Regions from separate parts of the Mus musculus genome. Here regions 2, 3 and 4 are each reported to be linked to region 1. The links are microRNA targets in miRTarBase. Many come from high-throughput screens and were not tested one by one. Region 1 holds a microRNA gene; each other region holds the end of a gene's coding sequence.
The links. Region 1 holds the annotated microRNA mmu-miR-129-2-3p (AAGCCCUUACCCCAAAAAGCAU, at 1,627-1,648, opposite strand). A microRNA usually pairs through its seed, bases 2 to 8, with sites in the 3' UTR of a target mRNA and lowers its output. Matches are read on the target gene's strand: a 7mer-m8 pairs with bases 2 to 8, a 7mer-A1 pairs with bases 2 to 7 and ends in A, and an 8mer does both.

Region 1 (3,399 bases):
GCTTCCTGACTAGGGAAAGGAGGTGGGATACAGTAAGAAAAAGACAGAAGAGTAGGTGAAGGGACACAGTGCGAAGCTATTTTTAATCTAACGTGGCTTTTCTGCCTCTCCCTCTGCAGAGCTATCGCTCCACAGACGGCCCCAGGTGAGAGGCAGGAAGAAAATCCCCCCACAGCTTTTGCTCCCTCTCCATAGCATGTTCAAATCTTTGAGACCCTTTTACTCTTTCAGAAAATACATTCGGAGGAAAAAAATATCCTTTATCAGGGGAGAAGGACCCTGATTTAGCTGTGGAGTCTGGAGTTCTCGCATTCTGTGCCTTCTTACGTACTGAGCTAGCACCGGCTGCCTCTGTCCAGCATTCTCAGCATCTGCTAGCCTTTCTTTTCTTTCAGGAGGGGGTAGAGAGAGTAGAGCTTAGGTGGTTAACTATGGGACCCCCAAAATGAGTCAGAGAGTTTGTTGAAAGCAGAAAGGTTGGGATGCGGGGGGAAATTCAGGCCCTCCCCGAAAATGGGAAGCTTTGCAGCCCCGGGGTGTTGGGCTATCACATCCCTAGATACATCCTCTAACTGCTTTTCACCCCCATAGACATTTGCGTGTGTCTGTGTGTCCTTCTGGCCCAGTCCCTAAGGGCAAGGGTGTCTAGCAGTGTTCTTAGCTAGCGAAGGGCACGGGGCACAAAACGTGTTGAAGGCCTGATTTGTGCCACTTGTAACCGAAGTGGTCACGACTGCAAGGAGTGGAGGGGGAGGAGGGGGACCCACGGGCTCTCCCCTTTGCAGCTTGCCTCCCTTCCCAGGTCTAGGAGCCTCGAGTGGCCAGCATGGGGCTGCTGCCTCTGCCACTGCTAAACAACTGCAGCTCGCAGAAGCTCCTTCCCCGCGGGGTTTTCCCTAGTTTCCGCCTGTTTCATCCTCTCCTGCGCTACTTAGTTTTGAAAAAGAGGAGATGGGTGGGTACTGGAGCCTGCAACACGCCTGAAATTAGGTTGGAAGCAGGTTCAGGAAGAAGGCTCCGGGGAGCGGGCGGTGCCTGGGTGTTTTTCCCTCTTTTTCGGAGCTACCGGATTCACGGAGATTCATCTCACCTCCTCTAGATTCCGCTCATCCTAACCGAGGATGGTTAGGGCCTACCGCCCCTCCCTCAAGGGCTTCCCCTCCCCCATATTAGATTCCAATCCTTAGGGTCAAAAAAAAAATGACCGTAAAATTTCCTAAACTGATTCATATTCTAGGTACTGACTTGGCCCTATGGCCATGCCCCCCCCCCTTATTGTGAGTGGGGATATTTGGGGTGTGGGGTGTGGGGGAACGACACAACTTCTGTAAACTTTTATTACATTTTAGCTTCTTCTCACTTCTTCGAAAACACACGCACGCCACCCGCTCCAATTCCCCCTGTGGTACAAAGTCGACTAAAAAGTTGGGGGCGGGGGACATGTCTCGGGAAAGCGAGTGATCAAAGCCTCGCGGAGCGCGGAAAGGACGGGGAGGAAAGAGCTGATTCTTCCGTGGAAAACGGGGAGAAAAACTGGGGAAGTCTCGGATGGAGCCGCTTCGGGAAGGTGCTGGCTTCGGCGGTCGCTGGTAGCTGCAGTCACGTCGCCGAGCGCGCCCTCCGCGAATGCTTTTTGGGGTAAGGGCTTCCGGCTATTGAGTTATGTACAGCAAGCCCAGACCGCAAAAAGATTCGCGAAAGGCAGTCTACCCGCTTCTTCGGTCCGCCGCCACCGCCGCCGCCGTCGCCGCCGCCTTTAGCCCAGCATGTCTCCGAACCCCGAAGCCGAGGAGACTGGATCTCCCCGGCGCGCTCCACCGCGGCTCATCCTCCCCACCCTGCGCGCCGCTCTCCCCTCCTCGCGTCCCCAAACCCATCCCTCTCTCTATCTCCAGATCCCCCGACTCAGCCTTGCACAACCTCGAAGAGGTAGTGGAGAGCGATAAGGGTAGCTCGAAGGGGGACCCCGGATCCCAGAGCCCTGCCTCCACCCCTCTCGCCCTAGCACTCCAAGCCTCCGATCCTATCTAGTCTATCACCCAATTCCCCCATCAGGGTTCTGACAGCCCTGACTGCAAGGTCGTGGATCTCTGAGCAGGTACGATCCAGATTTCCCCCGAATCCCCTCCTATCCTCCCTAGTCCCCCAGCAGAGGTTCCAGCCGTGACTACAGGCGCTGCGTAAAGAGAAAAACTCCCCCAGAGCACTAAATAAATACAGACAAGGCCGCCAGCTCATTGGTGTGGACTAAAATCGTCACCCACCAATCAGAAGAGAGCTCACATTTCTTTTTTTTTTTTTTTTCCAGAAGGGGGAGGGAGAAAAATATTTCCATTTCTAATTATTCAACAAAACCTAGACTAGAACACATTAAAATATTGTTGTTCCAAAAGCTGTCCATGACTCCCTCCCATTCTAGCCCAGGTGAGGGGGTGGCAGTGTATATTGGGAAAGAGGGATTCAAGAGAGCGACCTCTTCCATCGGGACCTAAGCCAGAAGAACCAGACGGAAAATGACTGGCAAAGATGAACATAAAACAAGCTCAAATCCCACTCTAGTTGGCCTATTTCTAGAAAATTAGACCTTTTCGAGTCCCCCTACCCCACTCTGCCCCCCCAAAGTTCTGAATGTTCACTAAGAAGGGTGAAGTTTCTCCCTCCCCCAGAGCCCCCAACCTGTCCAGATCATGGTGTCTAATGGCCCATTTGCCTCAGGTGCCCTTCCTTGTTGCCCCCCCCTTCTGCAAAATATTGAGGGAACAAGAAAGGGTGAGCTGGGCATTGACTGTCACAGTGACAGGAGATTCCAGCATCTGCAGGAGGGAGGGGAATAGAGAGCTAGAGAGGAAGGAGGGGGCAAAGTCTCTCCTCTCCCCCCTCCTCCCTGCCCTTTAAGTCCCTCCCCCATTCCATCTAGCCTAACTTAAGGGGGATGCCCTCTTCTTTATGTGCAGGCCCACCCAAGTCCCAGTGCCCTCTTGCCTAGCCCCAGGGATGCCAAAGGGTGTGATTAAACAAACGCCTATCTCCCTTCCAGTAGGGGGTGAAAAAAAAAAAAAACTTAAGTCAGGGTGGTTACTACAAGCATCACAAGAACTTGGGGGCAAAAGTTGGGTTTTGTTTTGGCTTTTTCACTTTTTTTTTTTTTTTTTTTTTTTTTTTTTGCCATCCCAGAATGGACCTGCAGGCAGGTACGCGCGCGCGCGTACACACACACACACACACACACACACACACACCCTTGGCTTATCATACCCACAGAATGCATTTCTGGACCTGGAGCCTTAGTCTCCCAAGTTCCTGTCGGCCCACCCACTCCGCCCATTCATCACCCTCCTACAGCTCTGTGACCCACCCACCCTCCTACTGCATCCCCTCCGCTTGGCTCGGTTACGGAAA
Region 2 (3,000 bases), not on the chromosome of region 1:
AGTGAGTGTGAAGAAGAGAAAGAGGTATTTCATGCAGGAGGAGATGGAAGCCAAGACAATGGAGCCCGTGGCAGAGCTGCCAGTCCCATCTGCCACCAGCAGCAAGAAGAGGAAGAAGTCCAAGGGGACAGAGACATCCCAGGTGGAGCACACAGAACCTGTGGCTCAAACAGAGCCTCCTGAGGGGACCTTCCTGTTCCCCACCAAAAAGAGGAAGAGGCAGAAGGAAGCTGATGGGACAGAGGAAGTGGATGGTATAGTGGCTGACTCTCAGCCACAGGTCATTGTGGAAGCCCAGGAGGAAACCATCCTCCTGTCCCCCACAAAGAAGAGGAGAAAGGAAAAGAGACAGAATTTGGGGATGGAGGCAGAGATGGGGCCCCCTGGAGTACTCATGGTGACCGAACATTCAGAACATGGGCTCCAGGCTGAAGTAGCTCTTGTGTCCCCCAAGAAGACAAAGAAGAAAAAGGGAAAGCGGGTGGGTGAGACAGAGGCTGCACTTCCAGATGACTTTGAGCCCCAGGGGGCTCTAGCACCCAGCAAGAAAAAAGAGAGAGGCGCACGCCTTTAATCCCAGCACTGGGCAGGCAGAGGCAGGCAGATTTCTGAGTTCGAGGCCAGCCTGGTCTACAAAGAGTTCTAGGACAGCCAGGGCTACACAGAGAAACCCTGTCTCAAAAAACCAAAAAAAAAAAAAAAAAAAGAAAGAAAGAAAAAAGAGAGGACAGAAAGCAATGGAGCCCGGGTCTAAGGTGATTGACCCAAGACAATCCGAGGAACCAGAGCCCAAGGCCAGTCAAAGATCCTCCAAGAAGAAAAAGAGGGATCAGGAAACTGAGGTGCAAGACACCATTCCCCAATGAGAGATGTCTTCCACGGACAGGAGAAGCAGCAGAGGAGACTTGCACAGGAGCCGTAATAACACCCTGGGGAAGGGGAGAAGGAGGGACTCGCCAGGCTGAGGTCAGAAACCAGCTGTATAGACACTCCCTGCCCCTCCCCCAAGCAAACACGCAGAGCCACTGGAGCCTGGGCATGGAAAATTCTTTATTGTGACACTGGGCCTAGGTGGCAGCAGGTCATCGAGGCACTTTGAGGAAGGGTTCGTGTAGTACTTCAAAGAGCCTGCGGGCCTGGGGGCAAGGGGAGAAGAGAACCTGTCATTAAAGCTGTCGCTGGCCCGCCTGTTTGGAATGGGGTTCTGCCTCTTATTCTCCTGGCTGAGGAGCTTCGGGTGTCTGGGTTCTACATGAGGCTGGCCCGGAGGTGGATGGAAATGGACCTAAAAACTAGTACATCGCTGGGCGTGGTGGCGCACGCCTTTGATCCCAGCATTCGGGAGGCAAAGGCAGGTGGATTTCGGAGTTCAAGGCCAGCCTGGTCTACCCAGAAACCCTGTCTCAAAAAACAAAAACAAAAACTAGTACATCGCTGGGCGGTGGTGGTGCACACCTTTGATCCCAGCACTCGGGAAGCTGAGGCAGGAGGATCGGAAGTGCAAGGCCAGCCTCAGCTACATTAAGTAAATAAAACAAACCAACAAAATGTCTTACTTTTGATACATGGGGTCAAGTATCCTGGGCTGGGCTGGGCTGGCTAGCTGTTTGGCCAAGGATGGCTTTGAACTCAACCTTTGATCCTCTGCCCTATATGGCTGCTGTAAGCATGCTCACCACACTTAGTTTAGCCAGTGCTGGGATCAGAGCTATACTCCCGGCCCGGGGGGGGGGGGGGGTTGTTATGGAGGCTTTTTTTTTTTTTTTTTTTTTTTTAAGATTTATTTATTTATTATATGTAAGTACACTGTAGCTGTCTTCAGACACTCCAGAAGAGGGAGTCAGATCTTGTTACGGATGGTTGTGAGCCACCATGTGGTTGCTGGGATTTGAACTCCTGACCTTCGGAAGAGCAGTCGGGTGCTCTTACCCACTGAGCCATCTCACCAGCCCCTATGGAGGCTTTTAAAACAAGCATGGTAGCTTACGCCTGTAATCTTAGCAGAAGCCAGCGGCAAGGGTGAGTTCAGGCCCAGCCTGGTGTATAGTGAGATCCAGGCCAGCTAGAGCTATATATATTAAGACCTGTCTAAAATCAATAGCCACTTAATAGAACTTCAAAGTCTAAAGTCCATTGATTTGGGGCTCATTCCTATACCTCAACCCCTGTAGCATCCCCCCCTAAAATTCTTACCTTCTGTGGGCCCAGGCCCGGGCATAAGGCTAGATCCTCCCTTGATGCGGTGAAGAGCTGTTCCAGGGACTGAGAGGTAGACTCAAGGTCAGGGCAGTGTGCCCTAAACCCTTACCTGTCCCAGCTGCAGGGGACCCCAGGGTGTGGGCCATGGGGTGGTCAGGAGGGGATGCCCAGGGGACCTCTTACTCCAAATGTAGCCAGGAGGGTCTGGCTGTCGGTCTTGTTCACAGATTTCACGGTGGTCAGACACTCAGTGGCCTGCAAGGGGAGGATGTTTTCTTGGGAGCTGGGCATGGGTGCAGCCTGTGAGTCGAGTGCTTAGAAAGCAGGGGCCTCACAAGTTTGAGGCCAGCCTGGTCCACAGCCAGGCTCAGGCCTACCGGGCCTGGGGAGATACTGTCTTCAGAAACAACAAAGGAGCCAAAGAGATGGCTCAGCGACTGCAAATACACACAGCCCTTCCAGAGGACCCAAGTCCACTTCCCAGTGCCCAGAACACCCAGAAAGATAGAAATGTAGAGTCCCTCTTTACTGCCGAAAAGCATTAGTTCATTTACAAAATAATATCAAAACATCCAAAAGTGGCCACTGAGTGGTGCTGGGTACTATGGTCACAGCAGGATCAGGATGGCACTCTGGGCTACTTAGCTGAGGGGATCACAGAGGGCTTCCTGGAGGGGGAGGCCTCAGAGCTGGCATGGGAAACATGGATTCCAGCAGAGATGACAGGAACACAGATGCTGAGGGCAGACTAGGGGGTCAGAGCTAAGGGAGGCAGGGTCTGTTTTGTACTTAAAAGACCCT
Region 3 (3,362 bases), not on the chromosome of region 1:
GTGAGCTTCAGTTTCAGTGGGAGACTCTATTTAAAAGGTAAGTCAGAGAAATTCTTATGTGGCAACCAAGGTTGGGTGTGTTCTTATATTTACTCCTTCAACAACAGTAGGTATAACTACCCAACATACCAGGGATTGTTCTGGACGCGCACACCAACGAAGGACCAGAGGGAGAAAAACCAAACTTGTTGCCCTTGAAGATGTATAGAGTAGAATATAAACTAAACACAGACATACACTTACAGAACACTTTGAAACTAACGTGCCTATTAACATATGCAGTAAACTGTTTTCTTTTTTTGTTTGTTTGTTTATTTAATGCTGATACAATGCATTAAACCATCAAGCTGCCTTTTCAGCTCAAACAGGCTGAGACTTGTACTTTAAACAACATTGGCCTAAATAAGTACAATAGTCAGTTGTGTACTGTTCCTATTTTTTGTTTTTCGAGACAGGGTTTCTCTGTAGCCCTGGCTGCTCTGGACCTCACTCTGTAGACCAGGCTGGCCTCAAACTCAGAAATCCGCCTGCCTCTGCCTCCCGAGTGCTGGGATTATAGTGTGCACCACCACTGCATGCATCACCCACCCGTGACCCCAGCAATGGATTCACTCAAGGCTTCATCCGAGTCCAGCGCTAGCTTTAACACTGCAGTTTCATCCCTAAAACTCATTCTTTTTCATACTTCTTTGGGGGTTGGGGGAGGGTTGTGCTCTCACTCTGTAGCCCAGACTGGCCTTGAATTCATAGTGATTCTCCTGCCTTAGCTGAGTGCTAGGATTACAGGCATGATCCACCACACTGGGCTTGGCTGGAAATGTGACCTTTGCCTGGGTGTCCCTTCAGTCCCTTGCCAGTTCTATCGTCTACAGACTTCTAGCCCTAGCCCAAGATGCCTGTCTTGTGCCATAACTGCTTACTTTACGACAACATGAATGCCAGAGTGGGATCCTCAACAATGTTACCTCCCCATATGCAGGTCTCTGTGACCTTTTTGTCCCTCAAACACAGCATATACCAGAGTAGATATTAATAGGTACCCACAGAAATGGGTACGTACCCGAAGCAGAGGACCACTGGAAAGTCCTCCTGGTTAGTGGGACTGGACTGTCAGCATGACAACATCTAGAACCACTACAAGATGAGCCTCTGGGCATGCCTTAGGGAATTACTGATAGTATTAACTGAGGTAGACGCTCCACCCACTGATGAGTGGCATCACTCCCTGGCTAGAATACTGGTTACATAAAGACAGCACAGTAGAATCCATTTGTTCTCGAATTCTCGACTGTGGAGGAGATGTGGCCAACTGCTTCAAGCTCCTGCTGCCTTGACCTTCCTGACCATGACAGACTGTGCCTCAAACTGTGAATCTAGATCAGCCCTTTCATCCGGGTATTTGATCTGACCCAGGAAGGGAAAACAAGCACCTAGATTACAAAGTCACATAGCAGGCAAGGTTTCAACAGCAGAAACCCTTCTCTCTGCCTAACGTCAGTAGCAGGTTCAGAAGCATGGCAGGCAGGCAGGCAGGCAGGCACAGATCTCACTGCACAGGAACTTAGCGAAATGCAAGACGAGGAAGACTACTAGGAGGTGCAGAGGGAAGCTGGATGGCCCTTTGAGGGGCAGGAGCAAGGGGGTCCCTGGGTCAGCAGCAGACACAGGGAGCAGTGTGATGACTCAGGAAGACTGCTCACTGCTGCTTCACTTGCACTGAGCAGGACGGCGTATGTGGCTGGTGAAAACACCTATAGCAAACTATCAGAAGGGAGTAAAACTGAATATTGCCCCAACTAAAGATGTTTAAATTCCCCCAACAGCAGAGAGGATGGAGATGCAGTCAGTTACCCATGGTGATGAGGCTCGGTAAAACACATCCATAACTGTTAAAGTCCTAGGTTCAATCCTTGGGTACAGAAAAATGACAGGATCCTTACAAAGTAACTCCCTCATAAAATAGAATTTTAATCATGACACCTTTGTGTAAGGTATTATAGGACTCCCTAAGCCATACTTTTCACACTTTAATCAAACTCTAATTCTATAGGGCAAAGGGAGGGTAGTGGGAGGTACATATATAAATAAGCACCTCTGTTCTTGTTCAAGTTTGGCCCTGTTGAGCAACTTGTTTAACCTATGTAAAATGGTTTAAAAGGCCTTAATTTGCCTAATTTTAAGTCTTCAATTAGATAAAAAATAGAAAATAAAACCACTCAGGCCCACCACTTCTGCAGCAACATGAAGTGAGAGTACACGTCCATTTACAGCTGCCACATTTCTTAGGCTGCTTTTCATAACAGTATTTAGTCACATCATTCATTTGCTACCACTGTAGCATTTATTTGAAAGAGACTTAAGATGAGTCTGACTGGGGAGTTTTCTTAGAAGTAGTTATTAGCTTAGAGCCTATTTCTAGATAGCTTGTTTCTTAGCACAAGCAACCACAAAGTACGTAAGCCCGCTCTTCACTTTTTTAAAAAGCATCCTCGTCTCTTTAAAGTTACGACTATTAATGGCTTTTTTGGGGTGATTTTGGTTATTTTTGAGGCACAGTCTCATATACCTTAGACTGGTCTCAAAATCACTACCTAGGCAAGGATGGCCTTGAACTTCCAATCTTCTGCCTCAATTCCTCTAGTGCTGAGATCACAGGCATGTGCCATCCTCAGAGCTTGTATGTGCAGTGATGGGGTCAAACCCAGGGCTTCCCACATGATAATTCAGTCCTTGTTGAAGGTGATGCAGAGTTCATGAGACTAAGCGATCCTGAGTCCCAGGGAAAGTCCAATGGCAGTGCAAAGAAGTCCGCCTCGGCCAGCACAGCCAGGTCCTCGCCGCCGCTCCCCGAGGTCTCAGCGCCCAGCTCCTCTTCTCTTTCCCTCACTTACTCATTCCTTTCTTTAAAGAAACAAAAGCTAAGTTCTCCAAAGTTCTGAAAGTCAGTTTGTATAGAGCTGAGTGAGAACTTTGACATTTGCTATTACAAGGTCCCTTGTCGCAGCAGGCGCTTTCTTCATTCGGGGTCAAGGCGAGGTAAAACAGGGAGAATCAGATTCCCAAAGGCAGAGTCTTGAGTTATGAAGTAGCCAGAGGAATGTGCGTGAGCATGCTGAGGAAGATAAAAAAAAACAAAACAAAACCAGCTCAGTTATGAAAAGTCACTTTTTTTTTAAACCAAGGCATTAAAATTCCTTATCCTTTCTGAATTCCTAAGATCTAGTTTGTTTACATGGACTGACCGGGACACAATTCGGATTAACACAAGGTATGGGGCATGCGTTTAGCGCCTCTTTATCTGCCTCTGTAGGGCTCTTTCTTTGTTCTCTGGCATGGGGAGAAACAGCAGCAAAGGTCACCAG
Region 4 (3,399 bases), not on the chromosome of region 1:
TCCAGGCTTTGGGCATAGAGACAAAAGAGACAAGCTTTGCTTTTGTGGGGAGAAGGTTGGGGAGCACAGATGATTGAGTCTAGTACACAATGTATTAGAAGACACAGGTGCCAGGAAGAAGCAGGCGTGGACGGTGATGGGATTAGGGGAAGCCCAGCAAGAGGATTGGAAATATTCAATATAGTGCCAGCATTGTCATCACTGTCATGGGTGGGATTTGCAGGAAACTGGCTGGCCATATCCCTCTGGGATTCAGTTTCCTTATCCAGAACCAGGCAGGAGTGGTGATTTTAACATCACCTGAGGAGATTAACAGTCCTGACATCTAAGACCTACCCCAACACCCACTGTGTCAAAAATCTCCCAAACTGAGGGAGACTTCAGGGACTGTAAATGGTTCCATGTCCACAAGAGTGTCTGGGAGACTCTGACATGTCTGGTTCTCATCTAGAGGGAGGCCTGAGCTTCCCAACTTCACCTGTCACCCTCTTCCTTTCCAACCCAGGGTCTAGAGATTGTGAACCCACAAGCAGCCGAGAAGAAGGTGGCAGAGGCCAACCAGAAGTATTTCTCTAGCATGGCCGAGTTCCTCAAGGTCAAGGGTGAGAAAAGTGGCACCATGTCTACCTGAAGGAGCCCGCACTCCAGGTGACCATCCACTGAAAGGACATAAAGGACTGGAGCTTCTGAAGTGACAGATATCCAGCCAGGAAGTTGTGGTGTGGTGGAGGCAGCCTTCCATGCTTTGCCTTTGGCCCAAGGCCATAGCATCCAAGAAAAAGGATGAAGAACCTTAGCCTGCCTCCCCCAGCATCCATGCTGCTGCTTCCCTAAACGGGCAGAAAGGTCTTCCTCACACTCAGCTTTTTTACTTACAGGGGGAAAGGCAGTGCTTTTATAGAACGAGTACAATTAAATGTGTAGTGTCGGGCTCTGAACAGAGGGTGTGAGTGATTATGAAAGAACCAAAGGACTCAGAGCTGTGGGGCTTCCAGTGTGAGCAGCATGGACCCAGCTCTCTTCTGCTCTTATCCTGGAATCTAAGAAAAACCCTGTCTATCTCTAACACCATCACCTGCCCCATGAGAACATCAGCATCATGGCCACCACAAAACTCCAGGACCCAACAAGACCCACAGGGTTGTTGTCCCTCAGGCTAGACACCTTGGTCCAAGAAACATCCACACAAAATGAAGCACGTAAAAGCCTTGGAAAGTGTGTACAGAAAGCACCCACCCAGTTCTGCATTCATGGTGGAGCCTATTGTTTTAATTCATGTTTGATGAGGGGTCCAAGCCTAGGTCCTCAGCAAGGGTGAGGCAGGCGGGTGTCCTGTGGGAGGGACCAATGCCAGGCAAGCAAAAGAAGTGCACACCACCCAGTCTGACTTGCGAGCCGGGGCTTCAAGGGAGAACGTTGAACAGTGCGAACTGTGTCTGGTTTGTTATGAGTCTGTCGTTCTCTGAGGGAGAGTAGCTGCTGGGCTCCATTTTCTCTGCTTAAGGTTAGCTCTGTTGGTCTAAATGTAGATGTAGCTGGTGAGGTTAGGGCTTTCTATCTTGGGCTTCCTGGTCTCTATTCCTCTCTACATACTGTATCTTAATCGTAGTCCCCCGTGGGTCTGTTGGGGAAAGCCCTTTGTCTGTCACTTCCCTTAGAACCCCTACTCTGTCCCTGGCCTGACTTCATTCTGACTTTGCCAGTGTTGAGTGGAGTGAAGTATGAAGATGTGAGTCTCGGAATTCAAGATGCTGCAGAATGTCTTGAGGACTCACTAAGATATGGTTGCTGGTCGTAAAGTTTGATTTCACTTTTGCTAAGATAGAGCTCAAAAAATGTGTATTTAAGCCTGTAATCCTACTTACTCAGGAGACTTTTGAGGCAGAAGGGTTGGAAGTACTTAGGCTACACAGTTGAGTTCAAGGTCAGCCTAGGCTGTAGGAAAAAGCCAGTGTCCAAAAAAGAAAGGAAGGAAGAAAGCAAGCAAGCAAGCTAGGGAGATCTGGCAAGATAGCACTGTTGGTAAAGTGTATTTCATAAAAACATGGGAACCTTGGAAGGCAGAAGCAGGCAGATCTCTGAGTCTAAAGACAGCCTGGTGTACAGAGTAAGTTCCAGGACATTGAGGGCTACACAGAGAAACCCTGTCTTGAAAAACCCCAAAACCAAAATAAAGCCAAAACAACAGCATAAAACCATGAGTTCAATACTTGGCACCCATATAAAGGCAAGGAGTTGGTAGCATGTATTTGCCATTCCAATGCTGACAAGGTGGACACAGGTATGTATGGTCCTGATGAGTGGCCTATCTAAAACAAAGCAAAACAACCTCAAAAACAGCAACAACAAAAAATGAGCTGCTGAGATTGACTTGGCCTTCATAAGCACATGCATGTGCACCTGCACACAGTACATTCATATGCATATGCACACATTCATATGCATATACACACACAAAATGTTAGGGGGAGTTGACTAAAGAGATGGCTGCTCCTCAAGAGGACCTGGGTTTGATTCCCAGCACCCACGTCAGCCTACAATGGTCTATAGCTCTAGCCCCAGAGAATGACATCCTTTTCTTATCTCCTTGGGCACCAGGTGCACATGTGGTGTAGACACGCATAAGCTAAACACCTATACGTACACAATCAAAGTTTTTAAAGGGCCAGCAATACAGTTCAAACCGGGGTGCCTGCCTAGCAGTGTCAAGGCCATGTCTCAAACATTTTAAAAGGGCTTTGCGGTGTGGTGGCACTCACTCACTCCCAGCGTTACCAGGCAGAGACCAGATTTCTGTGAGTTCTCTGGCGAACCTAGTCTACACAGTGACTTCCAGTTCCTTAAAAGGTCGAAGAAGCAGCCACATGGTGGTAAGCACATACCTGAAATCCAGTACTTGAGAAATGGAAGCAGGAAGACTTGAAGTTCAAGGTCATTCTCTGCTGCAAAGCTCTAGGTCCAATCCAGCCTGTCCTATGTGAAATCTGTCAAAAAGGAGAGGCAAGAATCGACTGGAAATAGCTCAATAGTAGTCTTCCTCCCTAGCATGTTAAGCCTTGGTTTCAAATCTCTCTACTGGAAAGAAAAACAGGAATTTCCATGGATCATTTCAGGGAAAGAATAACTAGTTTCCAACTCTAGCTGTTGATGTAATTGTTCTAGCATAAGTCTTAAGTATCTGGATTCTACCTCCACCAACTCCCCCGGTGATTCTAAAGTGCAGCTCAGCCCGAGAATCATAACTGTTTTTAAGGCCATTAGTATATCCTGGGAGCTTGTTAGAAAAAGCAGAATTGGGGACCGCCTAGATAAGAAGGAAGCTGCATCTTAATAATTTGGCAGGGATTCCTGATAGAGCTAGAAGCAGTTCCCCATTCTTGGGCCCGCATGAAATAGCAA

Region 2: miRTarBase lists Cd3eap as a target of mmu-miR-129-2-3p. Seed matches in the 3' UTR shown: 7mer-A1 at 654-660.
Region 3: the mRNA of Inip is a reported target of mmu-miR-129-2-3p. Seed matches in the 3' UTR shown: 7mer-m8 at 1,381-1,387, 7mer-A1 at 878-884 and 7mer-A1 at 466-472.
Region 4: miRTarBase lists Prpf31 as a target of mmu-miR-129-2-3p. Seed matches in the 3' UTR shown: 7mer-A1 at 2,126-2,132.

Annotation. Positions count from the first base shown.
Region 1 is chr2:94,239,750-94,243,148 of GRCm38, forward strand. It overlaps Mir129-2 (microRNA 129-2), which reads right to left and starts at 1,704; the gene lies at 1,615-1,704. All of the region lies in intron 3 of Mir670hg (a long non-coding RNA gene), which reads right to left. Mir129b (microRNA 129b) reads left to right here and starts at 1,629; the gene lies at 1,629-1,693.
Region 2 is chr7:19,354,555-19,357,554 of GRCm38, reverse strand. It overlaps Cd3eap (CD3E antigen, epsilon polypeptide associated protein), which reads left to right. Exons shown (of 3, transcript NM_145822.2): 3 at 1-1,548. The coding sequence ends at 574. It overlaps Ercc1 (excision repair cross-complementing rodent repair deficiency, complementation group 1), which reads right to left. Exons shown (of 10, transcript NM_007948.2): 8 at 2,383-2,454; 9 at 2,194-2,262; 10 at 1,031-1,136. The coding sequence ends at 1,083. Among named protein-coding and RNA genes, the nearest start is that of Cd3eap, 3.4 kb to the left of the region's middle.
Region 3 is chr4:59,769,348-59,772,709 of GRCm38, forward strand. Inip (INTS3 and NABP interacting protein) reads right to left here. Exons shown (of 5, transcript NM_001013577.1): 5 at 295-3,112. The coding sequence ends at 3,017. Among named protein-coding and RNA genes, the nearest start is that of Inip, 13 kb to the right of the region's middle.
Region 4 is chr7:3,640,292-3,643,690 of GRCm38, forward strand. It overlaps Prpf31 (pre-mRNA processing factor 31), which reads left to right. Exons shown (of 14, transcript NM_027328.4): 14 at 506-2,194. The coding sequence ends at 631. Gm15927 (a long non-coding RNA gene) reads right to left here. Exons shown (of 6, transcript XR_003946711.1): 3 at 2,883-2,984. Among named protein-coding and RNA genes, the nearest start is that of Gm15927, 2.4 kb to the right of the region's middle.